Linked DNA regions of Macaca mulatta. The protein of the gene in region 1 interacts with the protein of each later gene in a biochemical or structural test. Links are inferred from orthologs where the notes say so. Each region holds a gene or a part of one and is shown on either strand. Other genes may lie near its edges. The genes, in order: RNH1 and ANG.

Evidence for each region.
Region 2: the proteins of RNH1 (region 1) and ANG are reported together in a solved structure, tested with the Homo sapiens proteins (3 studies listed by BioGRID and IntAct, with this or other methods). The link is inferred for Macaca mulatta from reciprocal best matches to the Homo sapiens genes RNH1 and ANG.

The regions. Positions count from the first base shown.
Region 1 is NC_133419.1:390,645-394,447, reverse strand, and holds part of RNH1 (ribonuclease inhibitor), read left to right. Parts: intron 1-1,350; coding exon 1,351-1,521; intron 1,522-1,980; coding exon 1,981-2,151; intron 2,152-2,754; coding exon 2,755-2,925; intron 2,926-3,003; coding exon 3,004-3,174; intron 3,175-3,312; coding exon 3,313-3,483; intron 3,484-3,796; coding exon 3,797-3,803. UniProt on the Homo sapiens protein: Ribonuclease inhibitor which inhibits RNASE1, RNASE2 and angiogenin (ANG). May play a role in redox homeostasis. Required to inhibit the cytotoxic tRNA ribonuclease activity of ANG in the cytoplasm in absence of stress.
Region 2 is NC_133412.1:93,530,500-93,534,834, forward strand, and holds the start of ANG (angiogenin), read left to right. Parts: upstream 1-1,337; 5' UTR 1,338-4,335. UniProt on the Homo sapiens protein: Secreted ribonuclease that can either promote or restrict cell proliferation of target cells, depending on the context. Endocytosed in target cells via its receptor PLXNB2 and translocates to the cytoplasm or nucleus.

The DNA.
Region 1 (3,803 bases):
TGGCCCTCAGTCCTCCGTCTCCTTAGCCCTCTCCACGTCTGTGACTGTCCCCTCATCTCTCTGGTTCTGGTGGTCTGAGGGTCTGGCCGTGCTCCTGTAGGACGTCCTCTCTTGGGGTTTGTCTGATGGTTTCTCATGGTTGAAGTCCCGCATTTTTGGCAAGAATCCTCTTCACTGTGACGCCACTGCCTTTCCTCCTGTGACCGATCAGTGCCTTCGAGAGATACTTTAAATTCTTTTTGTTTTTAGAGACAGGGCCTCACTCTGTCACCCAAGCTGGAGTGGTTCCATCACGGCTCCATCATGGCTCATGAAGCCTCGACCTCCTGGGCTCAAGCAGTCCTCCTGCCTCAGCATCCCGAGTAGCTGGGATTACAGGCACCTGCCACCACGCCCGGCTACTTTTTGTATTTTTAGTAGAGACGGATTTCACCATGTTGGCCAGGCTGGTCTCGAACTCCTGACCTCAGGTGACGCCCACCTTGGCCTCCCAAAGTGCTGGGATTGCAGGTGTGAGCCACCGCGCCCGGTCTGAATTTTGTAATTTCTTTCTTTCCTCCACATTGATCAATTGTCATTCTTTTGTGAGCAAGACCTGGTTTTTTTCCTTTCTGTATTTATTCAGTTATTCATTTAATCAGGAAGGACTGGAGTATGTGTATTTGTCATGTTAGAAGCTGGTGTCACTGTGTATTTGCTCCGGTGTCTGAACTACCTGCTGCGTCCTGTTCCAGGCAGTTCCCGTAGGTGTCACCTCAGACAGGTTTGATTTTTTCCCTAGAGACAGACCAGGAGCTTTTGTGCTTCGTGCCTCAGGGTTGGAGGCGAGGAGCACGTGAGGCCTCAGGCACACGTCTGCATACGTGCAAGCATCTTAAAACTTTCTTTTTTTTTTTTTTTTTTTTGAGACGGAGTCTCGCTCTGTCGCCCAGGCTGGAGTGCAGTGGCCGGATCTCAGCTCACTGCAAGCTCCGCCTCCCGGGTTCACGCCATTCTCCGGCCTCAGCCTCTCGAGTAGCTGGGACTACAGGCGCCCGCCACCTCGCCCGGCTAGTTTTTTGTATTTCTTAATAGAGACGGGGTTTCACCGTGTTAGCCAGGATGGTTTTGATCTCCTGACCTCGTGATCCGCCCGTCTCGGCCTCCCAAAGTGCTGGGATTACAGGCTTGAGCCACTGCGCCCGGCCTTAAAACTTTCACAGAACAGTTCTCCTCTTTTTTGTTTCATTTCTGCAACGTCCTGTGTGACTTGCCGTGCTGTCTTCTGGGCCCGCTGATGGGTTGTAATCTGCGCGTGGGGTAGTGGAGGAGCCTGAGTGTGGCCCGCATGACCCTGGGGTCTGGTTGCAGGCTGGACGACTGTGGCCTCACAGAGGCACGGTGCGGCGACATCAGCTCGGCACTCCGAGTCAACCCTGCACTGACAGAACTCAGCCTGCGCAGCAATGAGCTGGGTGATGCTGGCGTGCACTGCGTGCTCCAGGGCCTGCAGAGCCCCTCCTGCAAGATCCAGAAGCTGAGGTGAGGTGGGGCCTGGCACTGCCTCTGGCCTGGTGCGGCCTGCTTTGGTAGCCCGGCAGCAGGGGAAAAAGCTGCCAGGGGCTCGTGGGCAGCTGTGGGTGGGCAGGCGGTGGCAGCGGGCATTTCCAGCATCAGCCAGAGGCACACAGGCCTGGTGGCCTCACGGCGGGGGGACAGGGCCCCTCCTGCCTTGTCCCAGCCCCTGCGCCCAAGGTCTGGGCCCGCCCGCCATCCCTGGCCTTCCAGCATCACCACAGGACCCCTGCTGAAGGGTGTGTCTGCAGACAAGGTTTCCCTGAGCCGAGCCACACGTGTGCCCTCCTTCACTCGGCCTGACCAGGGAAGGAGCAGTACAGACCTACTGCCTGCAGAGCGCCGCTCCGGGCTCCAGGCTCTGGCAGGTGAAGGGTGTGGCAGTTTGGCTCAGGGGAGCCCTGCTGACGGCCAGGTATGCTCCAGCCTCCAGAACTGCTACCTGACGGGGGCCGGCTGCGGGGTCCTGTCCGGCACGCTACGCTCCCTGCCCACGCTGCAGGAGCTGCACCTCAGCGACAACCTCTTGGGGGATGCGGGCCTGCAGCTGCTCTGCGAGGGACTCCTGGACCCCCAGTGCCGCCTGGAAAAGCTGCAGTGAGTGTGTCCCCTGCCCCGGGACCCATGCTCTCCACTGCCTGTCCCCCAGCCAGCCCCCTATATAGCACATCGCCTGCCAGGAGCCGTGAGGAGGGACTCAGGTCACAGGGTCCTTGTGGTGCTCTCCCCTCTCCATGATGCTGGGACTGGGGGGATCTGTCGTCGCCCTCCCTCCCCCTCCAGTTGCCCTTTGCAAGGCACAGCTGCCCCAGGACCTGACAGTGGGAACAGACCTGGCCGTGAGTCCGGCTCCACTCACCACTTCAGTGTGTGTGGGGGGCCCGGCCACTGTGAGTTGACCACGGCCTGGCACGTGCAGGCGGCCCTGCCCTCCAGAGGCTGGTTTCTTTGTCCTGGGCCTGGTTGGGCCCCGAGGTCCGAGGTCGGGGAGGGGGTGAGGGGTTTCCAGAAGGAATGCCGGTGTCCACAGAGGCCTGGGCCTCTGGATGAGTCTGGGGGGGCCCTCAGCACTGCCACCTGATGCCTAGGCAGGAGAAGGCTGAGGGAGAGATGAGACACCAGCACCCCCCTGCACTCCCTGGCATCACACCCTTGGCTGGTGCACATTCCTGTGTGGTGCTAAGCTCGGCTACCCCCCAGGCTTGAGTATTGCAACCTCTCGGCTGCCAGCTGCGAGCCCCTGGCCTCCGTGCTCAGGGCCAAGCCGGACTTCAAGGAGCTCACGGTTAGCAACAACGACATCAATGAGGCCGGCGTCCGTGTGCTGTGCCAGGGCCTGAAGGATTCCCCCTGCCAGCTGGAGGCGCTCAAGTAGGCCCTGGGCCTTGGGGAGGTGCGGGGTGTGGGCCGGGGGTCCCATGCTGCTTCACGCGTGACCTGCGTCCCCAGGCTGGAGAGCTGTGGTATCACGTCAAACAACTGCCGGGACCTGTGCAGCATCGTGGCCTCCAAGGCCTCGCTGCGGGAGCTGGCCCTGGGCAGCAACAAGCTGGGTGATGTGGGCATTGCAGAGCTGTGCCCAGGGCTGCTCCACCCCAGCTCCAGCCTCAGGACCCTGTGGTGAGTCACCTCCCCGAGGCCTCCTTCCTGGAGGGTCAGGGGCCGCGGGCCGTCCTCAGAGCCCTCCCCCACCCGCTGGGCGCACCTCAGGCCATGAGATGGCGCTGAGGAAAGTCTGGGGGGGTCCATGTCCTGCAGGATCTGGGAGTGTGGCATCACCGCCAAGGGCTGTGCGGATCTGTGCCGTGTCCTCAGGACCAAGGAGAGCCTGAAGGAGCTCAGCCTGGCCGGCAACGAGCTGGGGGACGAGGGTGCCCGGCTGCTGTGTGAGACGCTGCTGGAGCCCGGCTGCCAGCTGGAGTCACTGTGGTGAGTGTGGCTGTCGGGGCAGGGCCCTGTCGCCCAAGAGAGGGCCAGGGTCACCAAGGAGACCAGGGGAGGAGTGAGCGACTCCAGTGGAGGTGCTGGGCTCAGCTCTGGCGTTCAGAATGCATGGGCCAGGGAGCAGCCTGTGGTTTGATAGTAACGGTGCTTGGGGCTGAGGACCAGGTGCAGGTGCCCACACCTTGGGAGGCTCTCAGATGTTTTTGCTCAGGTCCATGTGGGGCTTTCAGGAGAAGGGCCAGTTGCAATTGTGGGCCAGCCTGGTCCGCTGCCAGGCCTCAGTCCTGTCTGTCCACAGGGTGAAG
Region 2 (4,335 bases), on another chromosome or scaffold:
GAGTTGAGCTGCGTTGATCACTCCTTGAAAAGTTGGTTACCTAGCTCTGAAAGACAGTAGACCCGAATCATCCAACCGTTGGGGGAAGGCACCGTTATCTTACCGAAGTGTGTTATATTTTGGCTTCTACGTTAAGTCCAAAGGCCGGCAGGTATATACATAGAGCGCGTCTGTCCTGGGGCTCAGTAACCTACAGCCTTGCAACCGAGCTCAGCTCTGGCCCTCGATCTCTATCTCAGACCCCTCCAGGTTCCCACCAGGCTCTAGTGAGCTTAAATCGCTTCCCGGGCTCAGTGAGACGCAAGGATGTCTAAAGTCTAAAAAGTTGCCTTCGTTCACCCCATCCTGCGTCTGGATCGAGGAGAATAAGCCAGACAATAAGCCATACTTGAAACTTGGTAAAGATGGAAGGAATAACTAAATAAGGCCAAAGGGAAATGTCACAACAAAGAAAAAAAACAAAAACAGAAAAACCTTCAGAACGGCAGGCGGAAAACAGAAATTCAGAGTAATATGAAGCCACCTCTAACACGGTGGCTCGTTGGTCTAGGGGTATGATTCTCGCTTTGGGTGCGAGAGGTCCCGGGTTCAAATCCCGGACGAGCCCTCAGGTTTACTGTTTTTTCCACCCTCTTTTGGCAACTACTGAAAAAAGTTTCCGTTAAATTTGAAATACAGACTGTCTCGTTTTGGGCTGTCCTGCTAAAGAAAGCAGCACCAAATAAGTACGTGGCAGATGGGGCTGCCGACCAGTGTCAAGACCGAGCTTCATGGGTTCCTGGACACTCAGCCAGGAGTAGTCTCCTAAGGGCCGCCTGGCTCTTGGGAGCAGAAGCCAGTTTCCCGCCATCTGCTCTCCGTGGAGGCAGTGCGCTCGCGGCTGCTGCCCGTTGGGTTCCAGCTGAGGAAGGAGCGTGGATCCTAGACTCGTTCTTTGCCTGGGGTGCCCCTGCGGCCCCTGGGGAGGGGCTGCTGCAGCGCCAGCTCCAAGGGCGGATGCAGGCGGGAGAGGCCTCCTGGGAGAAGCAGGGCGCGGTCCCAGCTACGCAGAGGCTCGTAAGCCTACCCTCCACTCCTCACCACGCCCCCATCTCCGTCCGGGTACACACACTCACGCAAGCACGCCACTCCACCCAGATGCAAGGCAGGATTCAAAAGAACATCTTTGCGTTTTCTACGGCCTCCCCATCGTCGTACTAGGGAGGAAGAAGCTGGTGAGAAACAAAACTTCTTTCTACCGTCCTGCCCATTTCTGCCAACTTGTTCAGAGGCCGAGGTACGTTCACACTCCTGCTCCTCTTGCTCTTTGGTAGCTACATCAGGGGCGTTGTGGCCGGGGAGTTCTTTCCTAGTAGAAGCAGCTTGGGACTCCTCGGGGAGGCTTTTGCGGGACTGGGCTGGAGAGGGAGGAATGGGGAGGGAGGTGAAAGTCCAGTATTTGTATGAGTTAAGGACTTTACATTCCCACTCAGGTTTTTACTTTGCGCAGCTGGGCAGAGATGCCAGCTTCTATTGATTAGTAGGCTTGGAGGGGGACCACAGAATCGCCGAACCTAAGGGAAGCCCTAGGAGGTCTGCACTTGCCCACAACTAAGAAAGCTTTGCTTGTTATTCAGGTTAATCACCAGATTTTTGAAGGAGGCCTTAGTTTTTGCAAGCGTAACTAACATTTGGGGATCGGTATTTTCTGTTTACTCTCCTCTGCCTCCCCACCCTTAACCCACCCTCAACAAATGTTGTGCAATTCTTGGAGACACTTGCCAACAGCCTCTTTAAGCCTTCCTACTGGAAGGCTGGGATCCTCCGTTTTTTCACTCTGAGACAGCACGTCAAATGCTAACAGCAGCACATGAGTAAAGCGCAACATCTTTATTAAAACAATTTCAGCACCACTCAGGGGGCTAAGGAAATCTCAGATGAGCCAAGATCCTCCCTCCTGACAGTGAGAATCTTATAATCAAGTAATAATGTAATCAATAGAAACCCAAGTGACATATGTATCTGCAGCACAGGACCACCTTCCCAGAAGCAGCCGCAGGTATTCCAAGACTTACTTAACCACAGAGCCACTAATTAGTTTTGCAAGAGGATAGGTTTGTTACATACGCTTCAATTCAAGCAATTCTTTTACGGATGACAAGCAGAGTAAAATATTTTTTGAATTTATGGTAATAGTCACTGTAGGTTTCCTTTGAACAGCAACTTTCAGTGGCCCCTTTAAAGTTAGCTTTGATTGTCTAGACAGTACTAGTATGGAAAATAAAAGTTGTGTGGACCTGGCACGATGGCTTATGCTTGTAATCCCAGCACTTTGGGAGGCCGAGGTGGGTGGATCACGAGATCAGGAGTTCGAGACCACCCTGGCCAAGACGGTGACACCTCGTCTCTACTAAAAATACAAAAATTAGCTGGGCACGGTGGTGAGCTCCTGTAATCCCAGCTACTGGGGAGGCTGAAACACGAGAATCCCTTGAACCTGGGAGGCAGAGGTTGCAGTGAGCCGATAGCCTGGGTGACAGAGCAAGACTCCATCTCAAAACAACAACAACAACAAAAAAAACAGTTGTGTGGTGCATTGGAAAGCTTCTAGTCCCGCGAATGCCATGAGTTAGTTCCTTGGGCAATACATGTCTCTTTCTCTGTTCCTCAGTTGCCTTTTCTTTAGTATGAGGGGTGGACAGACGGTCTCAGAGGCCCCTCCCACTATTGTTCTGTGACTGCATGGAGTGGTGCGATGTTAGAAACAGGATATGAGGCACTCTAGTAATGTGGAGACGAACTATAGTTTGGCAGAGAGGATGGAAAAAATCATTCCAGGAAAAGAGGAATGGCTTTAGCTATTGCTGACAGCAGATAATCAGGTTACAAGCAGGCAAGTATAAGAGGTTTGCCAAGTTATTGTTGGAAGCATTTGTCACTGTGACTCAAATTAAAGTAGATGGATAAAAAAGTGGACCAGTGGAGGCCAGTGAAACCTTTCTTTAGGAGTTTTTATTTAATCTGTATTTAAGCAGATTCTCTGTAATTCTCTGTAAACAGTTATTCCCAGAAGAATGCCATGAAATACCTGGGAAAGAGGGAGTGGGCACAAAGCCCAGAGTGGGTTGAAAAGCAAATGTTTAATTTTTGTCTTTGTTTGGAAATACAGGCGTGTCAGCAGGACTTTGTCCCCACTGTCCTTCAGTCAGTAGTGTTGCCACTTCCTGGAGACGTGGTTCTTCTTTTCACGGGGGCTTTTCCTTCTTTACCTGTTACTTCCATTACTGATTAAGTTTCATGCTTATAGACCTAAACTGTTAGAATAATAAAGAAATTTAGAAACTATTTAGTCCATTGTTCCCATCATCTAATTTTAGTCCTGAGACAGAATGAAACATAGATACTCTGTATGAAGGAGGAAAGTGCTCCAACACTAGAGTCCTTGGAAACAGGACCCATGCATCCCGTGTCTGTGTGCAGGGACATTATTGGCTTGAGGGAGAGAGAAAAAAATCTCCAGGAAAGGGGAATGACTTTCAAGTTAAAACTGTCTGAACATTTAAAAAATATATGAAGTTTTTTTGCAATTGGCAATTCCTTCATTTGTACTAAAATTACTGACAAAGATGTGATGTTCCTTAATCATAGAATATAATTCCTTGTTGTATTTTAAAACACAAATGACTAAGTACCTAGATGCATTCTAATGAAATAGTAATTTTTCCCCCAAACCCTACTTTTTGTTTCAACAAAACTTCCTTGTGCCAAGTTTAAAAGAAAAACAAAAAACTGTCTTTTGGCGTTGTGGGCAGATTGTGAGTCCTCCAAAGGTTGTCCAGTAAAGGCCCAGAGGCAGAGAAGGGACCTGACTATATTCAGAGGCTGCTGGTTGCCCCAGCCCAGCACTACTGCAGAACTCTAAAATCAGAGGCTGCTCTGTTTGTGTGAGTTGGTGCTTGAATTGGAGCTTCAGGCCATGGCGCTGTGTGTATGCAGGCACATGTGGGTTGTATGTTGTGGCGGAGTTCCGCTTTTCGGGACTCAAAAAGAGGTGGTGTTGCTTGAGCTAAGTCTGGAAAGATGGGTCAGTTTTCTCCTTGTTTACAAAGGGTTCAAAGTCTGACTCCACCATTCCTCTGCTGTTTGTTCTTAGAGTTTCCTCATGAGCAGAGCATATTTACATAATGCCTACCTCACACAGTTCTGGTGCTGGTTGAATGTAGTCATGTATGTGAGAGCTTCACAAAATGAAAGACTGCACTGAATATTATAATGATTGTGATTTCAAGTGCATTTGTTTCACTAGCAGGCAGCCTGTCTTTCTTGACAGCTTCTCAAGTGCAGCCAGACTGAATA